3 linked regions of the Drosophila melanogaster genome follow. The protein of the gene in region 2 purifies or fractionates together with the protein of the main gene of each other region. This does not show direct contact. Each region holds a gene or a part of one and is shown on either strand. Other genes may lie near its edges.

Evidence for each region.
Region 1: the proteins of Su(P) (region 2) and mtDNA-helicase purify together in Drosophila melanogaster (affinity purification with mass spectrometry, with the first as the bait; one large-scale study listed by BioGRID). This does not show direct contact.
Region 3: the proteins of Su(P) (region 2) and CG9577 purify together in Drosophila melanogaster (affinity purification with mass spectrometry, with the first as the bait; one large-scale study listed by BioGRID). This does not show direct contact.

What each region holds. Positions count from the first base shown.
Region 1 is NT_033779.5:9,890,753-9,895,338, reverse strand, and holds mtDNA-helicase (mitochondrial DNA helicase), read left to right. Parts: upstream 1-1,892; 5' UTR 1,893-1,919; coding exon 1,920-2,211; intron 2,212-2,269; coding exon 2,270-2,707; intron 2,708-2,876; coding exon 2,877-3,988; 3' UTR 3,989-4,076; downstream 4,077-4,586. Other genes in the region: CG4537 (uncharacterized protein), read right to left, coding at 4,077-4,206, 4,266-4,429.
Region 2 is NT_037436.4:16,610,155-16,614,218, forward strand, and holds Su(P) (suppressor of ref(2)P sterility), read right to left. Parts: upstream 2,046-4,064; 5' UTR 1,964-2,045; coding exon 1,209-1,963; intron 1,145-1,208; coding exon 738-1,144; intron 676-737; coding exon 584-675; 3' UTR 508-583; downstream 1-507. Other genes in the region: Prosbeta6 (proteasome beta6 subunit), read right to left, coding at 76-164; CG4101 (uncharacterized protein), read left to right, coding at 2,422-2,685; Mo25, read right to left, coding at 3,996-4,064.
Region 3 is NC_004354.4:20,164,743-20,168,582, reverse strand, and holds CG9577 (uncharacterized protein), read right to left. Parts: upstream 1,911-3,840; 5' UTR 1,819-1,910; coding exon 1,767-1,818; intron 1,627-1,766; coding exon 1,464-1,626; intron 1,393-1,463; coding exon 768-1,392; intron 702-767; coding exon 603-701; 3' UTR 503-602; downstream 1-502. Other genes in the region: CG9581 (uncharacterized protein), read left to right, coding at 1-432.

The sequences.
Region 1 (4,586 bases), on a different chromosome or scaffold from region 2:
TAAAAAGTGGCACACGTGTGGTAAGTATTTTGGTAAAATCAGCTGTTTGGGCTAGATCACCGAAGACAGCGATAGGCAATCGATACATCGAATTAACATATAAATATGAAAGTTTTTCATATATTAAGTATTTTATGAATGATTTAATGAAAATTAAATGGAATATCATTTATTCGGTTAAGTTAATTATTGCACATTCTTATACAATATATATCAGGCAAAAACCAAACAATTTTTCCGATACGATACTACCATGGTTGCATTCAGAGACATCGATAGTTGGCCGCCATCTTTTCACAGAATTTTTCCTTCCACGTGCGATGACGAAACTCGTTCATTTTATTTCAAGACTCGAAATGGTAAGTTGTGTGCTCTTCGTAAATAGTTTTATATCAAGTGAATTAAAGTGCTTAAATGGAAGAGTGTTATGCCTCAAATGATGAAACAGATGACGAGACTGAAGGAACAAATTCTCGACTTGGCGCTGTATTTTTCAGTGCCTCGTTATATATTTGTTCATTTAAGATGATTCGGCGATCTGATGGCATATAACTTCAAGAACTTTCTTTGGGTTTGGCAAGAATATGTTCTAAAAGTTCTGTATTTCTTGCAGTGAACAATATTGAAACCCTAAGCATTTGGATAAATCGAAATCCGGGCACTCCACGTGCATGGTGCATGTGAGACACCTCGGGACAACATGTGAGCCCGTTGAGACACCTTGGGCACTGAGCCCACTGGAGACGCCATTGTCACATTGGAGGTAAGATATTAATACTTTTGGTTGGTCTATGCTTCTCTGATGATCTTTTACACAGACCTGTACTGAGCTCATAACCGTGCAGAAAATTGTAAACTGAAACCTAATCAAATATATAAAATATTTGGAAGTACTCCTTGTACACACTGTATTGATGCCATTTTCTTTTATTTCCAGAATTTACATTCTGGTTTGAGGTTATGTATGGGTCCAGCTGCAGCAGCGAGCACATGGATTTACCGATAAAGGTAATTTATTTACACTAACATTTTTATGTTTGAATGCAATATACGTTTTACTGATGATTAACTTCAACACCTTTTGCGGTTTCCACCAGAAAGCTTCGGCTTAATGATGGTCTAAGGCGTCTGACTAAAAAGTTTCAATAAAAACTTTATTATACTTAAACTAGCATTTTACTTACCTATTTTATCTCTTGTTTCCAGATCAACTCAGAAATGTGGTTTATCGCAGGCAAATATAACTAAATGAGCTCGTTTATTCGACTGTATAAGGTAATATTTTCGAGAATTTTTTTTTTTAAATTAATAAATAAACTGATGATTACCTTAAACACCTTTTGCGGTTTCCACCAGAAAGCTTCGGCTTAAGGATGGTCTAAGGCGTCTGACTAATACAAATATATATATTTCGGCTGTCTTGAGATGATGTATTTAATATATTTTATATTTTACTTTAATTGCAGAGTGACGTTGCCTTGTGTAAAAGATCTTGATATAAAAAGAATTGGACATCTTCAAATACTAAAATAAATAAACTAATAAAATCAAATAATCACGAATTGTATATATTTTTTATTGTTATTGGGATGGTGGAAAAGAGCCGCAATTTGTTTAATCAGTTGTACAAATAAAGTATTGACCTTAGAACAAAGTTATAGATAGATAATGCTTTATAATTTGAATTTACCGTGCTTAACTAAACTGGTATTTATCGAACAATTTAGCACAATTGTAAGCGCACTTTACGAAAGTAATTTAATGAGATTTCCTAGTATTAAATAGAGCGCTTCCCAGAGCACTGAGAGAGTACAAAGATATTTGAATGATTAATAGTAGGTAAACAAATCTTCAAAATTGCGCGCCCAATTGTCATCCCTATTTTCCACCCCTCACTTTCGATATCGATAACATGGAAAATGAGACGCGCCGGTTTAATCAAACCGCTGTTGCGTATAAATAACGAAAAACAACGTGTTTGGAGAAAAAACTACGCTACCCAAGTGGTTTCCGGCTTGGAGGAGTGCTCACTAGACCCCAAGGAGTATGTGGACTTCAAGCGGCAGCTGCGGCAGCTCAACTTGCCCCACAAAGACGGACACACGTGCTTGCAGCTGGAGTGTCGCCTCTGCGATCGCAATAGGCAGCCGGTGACAAACGCCCAAAAGGGCACCGATCATGGGCTGCTGGCTTACGTAAACAAGCGGACGGGTGAGAGCACCAATTACATTTCGCAAAAAAAACCGTAGTATATTCAATTTTCCTTTAGGAGCCTTTATCTGCCCCAATTGCGACGTAAAAACCTCACTGACCAGCGCTTTATTATCCTATCAGTTGCCCAAGCCGGTTGGCTATAAGCAACCGCTGCAGAGGCAGCCGGTCTATGAATCCCGATTTCCCCACCTGGCCGTGGTTACTCCCGAGGCCTGTGCAGCTTTGGGAATCAAGGGCTTGAAGGAGGACCAACTAAATGCCATAGGAGCACAGTGGGAGCCGCAGCAACAGCTGCTCCACTTTAAGTTACGCAATGCCGCGCAAGTGGAGGTTGGCGAAAAGGTGTTATATCTGGGCGATCGACGGGAGGAGATCTTCCAGAGCAGCTCCAGCTCCGGGCTGCTGATTCACGGTGCGATGAACAAAACCAAAGCGGTTCTAGTCAGCAATCTAATTGACTTTATTGTCCTTGCCACACAGAACATTGAAACGCGTAAGTGAAAACATAGCTTTTAGGAATATTTTTCATTGGTTGCAGAATAGTGAAGAAATCCTAGGGTGATATATTTAAGATATCAATTAAAAATAATTTGGAAACCAGTTTGGCTCAGCTAGTACACATTTAAGATATAATTTAATTTAAAAATTAAATTGTCTCCTAGATTGCGTTGTATGCCTGCCCTACGAACTGAAGACTCTACCACAAGAGTGTCTGCCCGCCTTGGAACGCTTCAAAGAGCTCATCTTTTGGTTGCACTACGATGCCAGTCACAGCTGGGATGCAGCTAGAGCTTTTGCGTTAAAGTTGGACGAAAGGCGATGCCTGTTAATCCGACCTACTGAGACGGAACCTGCGCCACATTTGGCTCTGCGCCGACGACTCAATCTGCGCCACATCCTGGCCAAAGCGACACCGGTGCAGCACAAGGCCATCACAACATTCGGAGCAATGCGAAATGACATTCTCAGCGAGTTGCAAAACATCGAGAAAGTCAATGGAGTAAAGTGGAAGCGCTTTCCAGTACTGAATAAGCTGCTCAAAGGCCATCGGAGGGGAGAGTTGACAATCCTCACAGGACCCACGGGTAGTGGAAAGACAACCTTTATGAGCGAGTACTCTCTGGATCTGGCCATGCAGGGCGTAAACACGCTGTGGGGCTCTTTTGAGATCCGAAACACCCGGCTGGCGGCCACCTTGCTTCGCCAGTATGTGGGCTACCCGTTGGACGACCGGTTGCATGAGTTTAACCACTGGGCAGCGGAGTTTGAGCGTTTGCCGCTATACTTTATGACCTTCCACGGACAGCAGCCCCTTAAGCCGGTTCTGGAAGCCATCGAGCATGCGTCGTATGTGCACGATGTGATGCACGTGATCATTGACAATCTGCAATTTATGATGGGCGTGTCCACATTTCGAGGCGACAAGTTCTTTGAACAGGACTCTATTATAGCTGCCTTTCGCTCCTTTGCCACCAAGCACAATGTACACGTGACACTCGTAATGCATCCGCGCAAGGAGCGGCAGGAGGACGAGCTGACCACCAGCTCGGTTTTCGGCACAGCAAAGGCCACCCAAGAAGCGGACAACGTGTTGATCATTCAAGACAAGAGGCTGACTTCTGTGCGGGGCAAGAAGTATCTCCAAATTGCCAAGAATCGTTATTCCGGCGACCTGGGCATCATGCCACTGGAATTCGACAAAGACGGCTTGAGCTACTCAACCCAGATCCAAAATGCCAAGCGAAAACGGGAAAAGACGCCATCCGAGAACTGATTAGTAAGGCATTTGTTGTACTATAGGTTATAATTATTCTGTTGTCTATGGTTAGTTTAGTCTTAAGTGCATCCTTTGATAAACTGCATCACGTTGAGCTCTGCTTGTAGTTCTTGGTGTTCATGATCTTCTTGCCGCACATGGCGCATATGGCCTTTTTGTAGGCGCACGCCTGGCAATAGTGCGAACCCATCTGGTGCACTTTCTGTCGGCAGATTCTGGATAATTAAAAATCAGATTAAGATATGCAGATGAATTCTTGAGGAGATTTCCCTACCGGCAAGGTGGTAAAGCAGTCCCTATGGGATTGTATCGCTCGCGGGCCGAGGATAAAGCCTTGTTCTCGTTGATTTTACGTCCTCCCGCAGGAGCTGTGCTCGTTCGCCAGGGATTGGGCGCTGAAACTTTGGAGAGCTTGGCCTCGCACTTCTCGCAAACCATTTTTGTTATCAATTCAATTTGTTTTTTATTTACGTTTTGCAAAAACAGAGTGACCATTCCATTGATATTAATATCGATTGTTTGCTACCGATTGACCGCATATTTCCCAACTAAGTGTCTATCGAAGGTTGTTATCGACCATCTCAATTGCAAATTT
Region 2 (4,064 bases):
CTGTAAACAGGGAAGACTCCGGTTAGATGGAGACATTCTTCCACATCTCGATTCCGCTGGGAAATAGCAACTCACCCGCCATTGGACTCGTAGGGCGAGAAATCAGGATGCTTCATGCCGGGCACCTGGTAGTCCGGGAATTGCTCAAAGCCCAATCTGCTCATGTTTTGTGCTGAAATTCACCAATTAACTCGCCAAGTAAAAAACCAACGAAATGATTTGCAAGTTTGCAAGCGGCTAACCAAAATCACAAAATCAATGTGACCGTTGTTGAGCATCGGATCCAGCCTGCTTAAACGTTATCGATAGGTATACATACGTCGGTTTGGGATATTTTTATTAGCAGGAGGTATTTATTTAGTAAACATTTTTAATTTAACATATAAATAAAATAACAATATAAAACCTAAAATTAATTCCAATTTGTACCATAAACTTGCACTCCTTACGCGTTTTTGACCAAATATATACATTCAGATACCATAAACGAAACGGCAAACTAGATTTGATTAAAATGTATATTTTAATGAACATTTCGGTTATTTTCAACAATCTTTGGATAAAATAAGGGCAAATATTTGTTTTAAGCTATAGCGGCCATGTTTTCAATACGTTCTCTTTGCAACTGCCCACGATTCTTCTCCACCAACGCCTTGACGTCATAAAACCATTTACCTGCGGAAATATGTAAAAAGTTCGTAAAAAGGTACAAAACCCGAGAAAGAAACCTTATTTACCGATGCTGGTGTTTTGCAGACAATCCTTGAACGTCTGACACCCCTCCATGCTTGAAAGCACGCCGAAAACCGATAGATCAGCCAGACTTGGCTGTTTTCCGCCCATGAATTTCGTGTTCCTCTTTTTCAGCTCAGTGGTCCACTGGTCAAGGGCATCGTACATGTGCGACCTGACGTCGTCGCTGAGGGCGTGACGGCGCTTCAGCATCTTGGCTATGGCCCACATGGCGGTGGCACCACAGTAAACCATCAGGTCGCGCTCCCATTTGGGGAAGTGAACGTCCCACTCGCCAGCTTGCGAGAACCACTCAAAAGTCTCTAGGGACTCGCCCATGGTCTGATAACAGTTGGGCGATATTAGATGCACCAAGTGGCTGTCGGCCCAGCTTCTCCACTTGCGATCGGTTCTAAGAACAGACACTCAAGGTTAAAAGATTTGATTAAAAGATTACTTGACCCTGGTTAACTTACTCATCCGTTTCCTTGGATACTCCCTTGGGCGTATGCTCGCGGTACATGAGGAAGTATTTATTCAATATGTCGTTCTTCTTTTTGCCATCATCGTCGAAGAAGGAGGTGTGCGGATAGAACTGTGCCAGCTCGCCGATGTCGGTGCGCTTGTCCTGCAGGTGGGTGGCTATAAGGGATATGATGGCACTTGAGTCCACCATCTGGACGTATTTGCCGTCCTGCTGTCGGATGAGCACCATCGGCACCTTCTTCACCGACGACCAGCGGATGTCCTGCCGTAGGACGGCATCCACTTCGACCACCGCATAGGATATGCCCATGTAGTCGAGGAAAGCGCGCACCTTGCAACAGAAGGGACACGTCTGGAACTGGAACAGCACAATGTCCAAACCGGACGTGTCCTTGGGGTTGACATAGCGCTTGGTTATCCGCACTCCAGCCGGAATCCCGTCCAGCCGCGTCGGCTTCGTCTCCTCGTGCTCTTTGTGCGAGCTGCCGTCTGTCCACCGCTGGTACATCGTATACACCGATCCGGTGGCCGCGCCTACGGTGGCCCCCAAAACTGCGAGCTTGAAAGTTCCATTCGGCTTCTTTCTGCCTCCGCCGTTTTCAACCGCTACAGCAAACTGGCGGCGTGCGAATGCAGCATCCGGATTCCGTTTAGTCAACAGGCGCAAGGCTCCACCTCCGCTTGCTGCCGGCGGGGGACGGACCCCTGCCAGAACGGTGGCAGACGCTAGCCGAATACATGACATAATTCGCACGTTTGTTTTGACTTATACTTAATATTATGCAAAAATTAGCGACTTATCAGCCGCGACTATGAGACCAGTGTGAAAAAATACCAAGACTTTTGTAGGGCTCCGGAATATACCATAAAGTTTTGAACATACCTTAAACGGTAACCCTGAAGAATGTGTTGGGGATGGGATATTTATTTCACTAGTGTTAAACTTTATAAAATGTATTTAATAATCCAGGTAATTGAATTTAAATAAAATCAAGCGAAGATTTTGTGCAAGCCTTTAAATACTTGCCGTTAATGAGCTAACAACCTTAAAACTTTGACCTAAAAAAGTTATCGATAGTTTCCACCTGAACTGTTGGTTCAGGGTACCATCTCTACCCAATACAAAAAACAAACTTTTTGTAGTTGTTATTTTTTTTTGTCTAATCCTCGCGGGTTTTGTTTATAAACAATACCAGCGCAGCGATGTCGGCTTCCGCGGACAGTCTGGGCGCCGCCGCAGCCCTGGACAAGTACGGCGACGAGGACATCTTCAGCTTGCTAATCCGATACGGGCTTTATGTGGGTGCTCTCTTCCAGTTCGTTTGCATTTCGGCCGCAGTATTGATGGAGAATAACCCGGATGGCCAAAGTAATCCGGAGTCCGGCGAAGTGACGGAGCGGGAGGGCGAGCCGGTCCGGACGCGCCTGCACAAGATTCGTAAGCTGGAGAAGAAGAAGCGACGATAGATGTAGCCATCCTTAATATATACATATGTAGCTAGCCTAAGAACTCTCGAATTCATTTATTAAGATAATTGTAATAAAACCTAGTCGACAACGATTAAAGTAGAAGCCTGCACACATTTGAAAACTCCTTCATGGGATTCCTACAGCAGGCTGAGTCCTGGAATGGACTCATTTACTCATTTAGGCACACCTTGAAACGTGATTTGAAATCTCTTTTGGTTTCGGTGGCATTCCCAGCGTGTGAATCATCTCCCCAGCCCTTGATCGACGTTTTTTGGGTGAGGTTGCCGCCCTGGCACGATTTTTTGCACATGACTCAGGGGGGAGCTGCACGCCCCCTGAGAAAACCACCGCCCACAGTGGAAAAACTGCTGATTTGTTTGGCTGTTATCTTTAATTTGGGAATAATATAAATTATAATAATCGTATAGTTATTATGTTGCTTGCAATGTTGTTGTTTCTTGTTTTACTTCCCTTTTAACTATGTACGTATGCATGTGTGTAGTGTGTGTGTGTGTTGAATGCTTTCTCTCTCTTTTTCTTTCTCTTGCTCTTTCTATATATATATATCAGTGTATATATAGTAGAGTCCATGCCGAAGGATGCACAGACAATTATCACTATGAATTATTATTATTTTTATGCAGTATTTAGTTTTCGTTCTTTTCATGAATTTTGCGTGGAATTACATTTTTAAGTCAAAACTCATTGTGAATCTTCAGTTTTTTTTTTTTGGGGCGCAAAAGGGGCGTGGCAGGTCAAGGCGGTGAAGGGATATCTCGTTTCAAAAACGATCAAATTTTAAATACAACAACTAGTTAAATGGATATCGAAAAAAAGGGTCTGGAAAGGAAGGGGGATTACTTCGCGGAGGATCGACGAATGGTTAAACATATCTGTATAATAGGATAGCGGATCTCTAGGCCCAGAATGTCTAAATGTGGCTATGTTAAATTCGAAACTCTCGGTACAGTTTTATTTTTCGGCGTTACGCTATTTACTCGTACTTTTTCTTGTTTTCTAATTCGCTTTATCGTTATTTTTATCATTATCATCATCAGTGTTGTTTTTGTTGTTGTCTAAATTATTGTTTAGTTACTCACAAGTGTAGAGTCATCAGCGTCACAAAATATAGTATATAATATATATTTGCTTTAACCCACACACAAAACATGTTCACATCCTGCTAACCCACCATCGCTCTCTCTGCTTCCGTATCGATCGCTTCTGGCTTCTGGCTACGGTCCTTTTGCCCCCGGGACGCTGGAGCTGGAGTTGGAGCTGAAGTTGGAGCCGAGGTGGAGGTCCAACTAAGCCTCGGGCAGCGGCTTCAGCTCCTTTATCTGCTTGATCAGATAGGCCTTCTCGTCGTTGAACTG
Region 3 (3,840 bases), on a different chromosome or scaffold from region 2:
GAGACGCTCGACCAGCTGTTCGAGACCACCTGCTACAAGCTGGGCAAGTACTTGCAGGAGATCGGGCTGGTGGGCAAGTCGTTCAGCGAGTACAAGGAACTGGTCAGCCAGGGCTACCGCTTCTGTCCGCACCACGTCTCCCACTACCTTGGGATGGACGTGCACGACACACCGCACGTGCCACGCAACACACGCATCGTGCCCGGCATGGTCTTCACCGTTGAGCCGGGCATCTACATTGGCCAGGATTGCGGCGACGTGCCGCCCGAGTTCCGGGGCATCGGCATCCGCATCGAAGACGATCTGCTCATCAACGAGAACGGCCACGTGGAAGTTCTAACTGAGGCGTGCGTCAAGGATCCACGCGCCCTGCAGGAGCTTTGCAAACAGCAACAGAAGAACCCCGGTGCCTCATCCGCGGAGGCGTTTTAAGAGCTCACAACGAAAACCAAATTCCTAGTCATAAGCCTTTCATTCTCCCGACAACCTTATGAGCTGATTTGGGTCCTAAAGTAAAGGCAGATGCTGTATTTATAAATGCACACATGGCAAATACATTTTAAATTCTGTCAGATTGCAGATTACATATTACAGGTTACCGATCACAGCTTGGCGAACACTGGCTTATCGTCCTTCGTCAACTGGGCGGCCACAGCCTGGGCGAAGTCCTCCGACAGCAGGTTGAGCTTGTTCAGCAGGAGCTGCAAGGTGTGAGGCGTGAGGCGTGGTTAGCTCGTGCAAATTCGTTGAGATATTAGGATACCCACAATGTGATCCAAGCCCTCTTGATTGGTGTGCTCCAGGGAGTACACGAGGCTCTCCTTGGTTGTCTTTACGGCGACGGGACTCTTGCTAGCGATGAGCTCGGCCACGGCCAGGGCTCCGGTCAGCAGGGAATCCTTGTCTGGGAAGAGGCGACTCACCAGGCCCGAGGAGTGGGCCTCGGCGGCCTCGAATTTGCGCCCAGTGAAGCACAGCTCGCGGGCGAGGGACTGACTGCCCACTGCCTTGGGCAGACGCTGCAGGGTGCCCACGTCGGCGGCCATGCCGATGTCCACCTCCTTGACCTGGAAAAAGGCGTCCTCGGTGCAGTAGCGAATGTCGGCGGCGGTAATCAGGTCCACGCCGGCGCCGATGCACGCCTTGTGCACCGCCGTGATGACCGGCTTGGGGCAGTGCTCCAGGCTGCTGATTGAGTCCTGGTACACCTTGATCATTCGCTCCATGGAGACGCCCTTGCGGGCGTAGTCATCGGTCTCGGCCAGCGTTTGGCCCACGTTTATCATGTCGTTGAGGTCGATGCCGGCGGTGAAGTGCTTTCCGGAGGCGGACAAAACGATAGCCCGGCAGTCGGGATTAGTGGCCAGTCCGTCGAAGCACTCCTTGATCTCCCTGGAAATGGGTAACGCAGTTTGGGTTAGCAGTCTGCGGAACAGGAAACGGGAAGCTATTGGATAACCCACAGCCACATCTGCTTGCTTATGGCGTTGAACTTGCTGGGCCGATGGAGCTCCACATGAAAGACGAACGGCTTGGGCGAACTGACGGCCAGCGTCTTGAAAGAGCCGGTGGGTCCGGATTCCGGGAGGGCGGAAAGGTTTCTCTGCATCTTAAGGGATCCGATGGCTGACGGGAAGTGCAATTGATTGGACTTTTAAAACGATGAAGAGACAAAGGTTCAATCACCGGTGTTCGGACTTTGAACCGAACCCAAATTTCGAACGCAGAAGGCTGGATGTCGGATTATCGAAGTCCCCGATACTTACCCGTGGGCTTGGGCGTTAGTTTCATCAGAGTGTTCAGGCGGGAGAGCGACATAATAAACCTTCTTTTCACTGGTTTCAAATCAAATCTACTTGTTGCGGCAGCTAAATTTGTTTTGTTTGCTTAACGATACGTAGCAGTGCTGCCACCCGGCAGAAATATTCAAAATAAGGCGGGCTCTCGGCTTATCAAAGCTACTGGATATATTTCACTAGCAGATTTTCAATGGATTTTTCTGGCTGCATAAGGACACAGTTGTTGCAATAAATGGGTTGTAGGTAAAATCAAGTCGTTGCGGCAGAAATTTGTTCGGCTACTATATCAATACGGTGTTTTGCTGCCACCCGGCTGGAGGATTCTAACTTAAAAAGTTTTGCATCAAATTCGCGTCAATGCGAATGTGTATTATTATTTATTTTTTCGTTGTTTAGAGGAGTATTCCAAAAAATAAAAATGCTAGAATGTTCAGATAAGAATTATCCAACTATATATGTACGACTTAAGTTTATAGGACTCAAGAAAGTATATAAAATGCGCAATCGAAAAATCAGGTTCACCATTCTTTGGAGAATATTTCCACTCGCAGAGCCTGTTCCTAATTGCACGCTAGCCCATCTTAAGGGACATTTCTTGTGCCTTGCTTACCTAAACCGAATTAGGTAATGATCCTGGAAAAATGCAGTGGGAGGAGCTTAAAGCATTTAAAAATGCCGCCTGGAATTCACCTCAAAATACGAAAAAAAATTAATAAGTACATAAAAAACGATGCCATGTTCCATTTTCTTCCGTTCCGACATAGCCGCTAACTCATCGACGCTAACTTGACGCACATAACAAGACGCACATAAAATTGCCATGAACAGATATTATTCTCGAATCTATCGATGTATCGTCCCAGCTTCCATCACTTCTCAAAGTTATCGAAAATTTGAGTTCTGCTTGCCACAATCTAAAAATCAGAAAATCATAAAGGTGCATAGTCTCGAAGCAGAAGCTCACAGGTCAGAGAAGAAATTTTCGGAATAAAAAAATAAATATAACAAGTTTTCAAAAATAACTCCGCACCAAACCCATTTAACCAAATCAAAAGCTTAAAGCAGTGAATAGTGTTATTTTTAAAAATTTAGCACAAATAAAAAGTTCGGGAATTCAACGCTTTTTGGTAAGTTTTCATAATGAAATAGCATTGTGCAATGAATTGTAACACAAATACATATATCTACTTGAAAAGGCATTAATTAGAACCCCTATACACATACTTTGAAAATAAAGGACTGCAACTTTCATTCAATTCGCATTTGCCCCAGGTTACGGCAATTTTCGAGGAAATTCGTAGAAACAGAAATAAAACCGAGAGTTTGACGCTTGCCAACTCTGGCAGTAGGGTTGCCCCTAAGCGTTTTTCCAACTGTTTAATTATTTGTGCAGGACTTTACATTGAATTGGCACACGTGTTTTTTGAGACAGCCACAAAACAAAATCTTCAACTGAAACCCGCCATGTTTTTGTTATGCTAGCCGAATGTATATAAATCAAAGAAGCGTTTCCGACCCCATAAACCTTACAAACTATATATATATATATGTTATACATATATTCTTGATCATTTGCTTAATAATATTCCCGATTTGCTTGTGTGAATCTCAAACTGTTGCCGCCAACTTCTTGGTATTAAGGGACACGTGCTTCACTTGTCAACAGAAGCTAACTGGCAAATTGTGTTCAGATTAGACTCTTAGAAACCCATTAAGAGTTAAAAAAAATCAATCGATGGGAATTTATAGAAACAGAATCGTCTCCGACCCTATAAACCCTACAGACTATATGTGCATATTTGTATATTCTTCATCATTGGCTAAATAAAATTCCCGATTTGTTTGTGTGAATCTCAAACTGTTGCCGCCAAAATGCTCAACTTCTTGGTATTAAGGGACATGTGCTTCACTTGTCAACAGAAACTAACTGGCAAATTGTGTTCAGATTAGACTTTTAGAAGCCCATTAAGAGTTAAAATAAATCAATCGTTGGGAATTTATAGAAACAGAATCGTCTCCGACCCTATAAACCCTACAGACT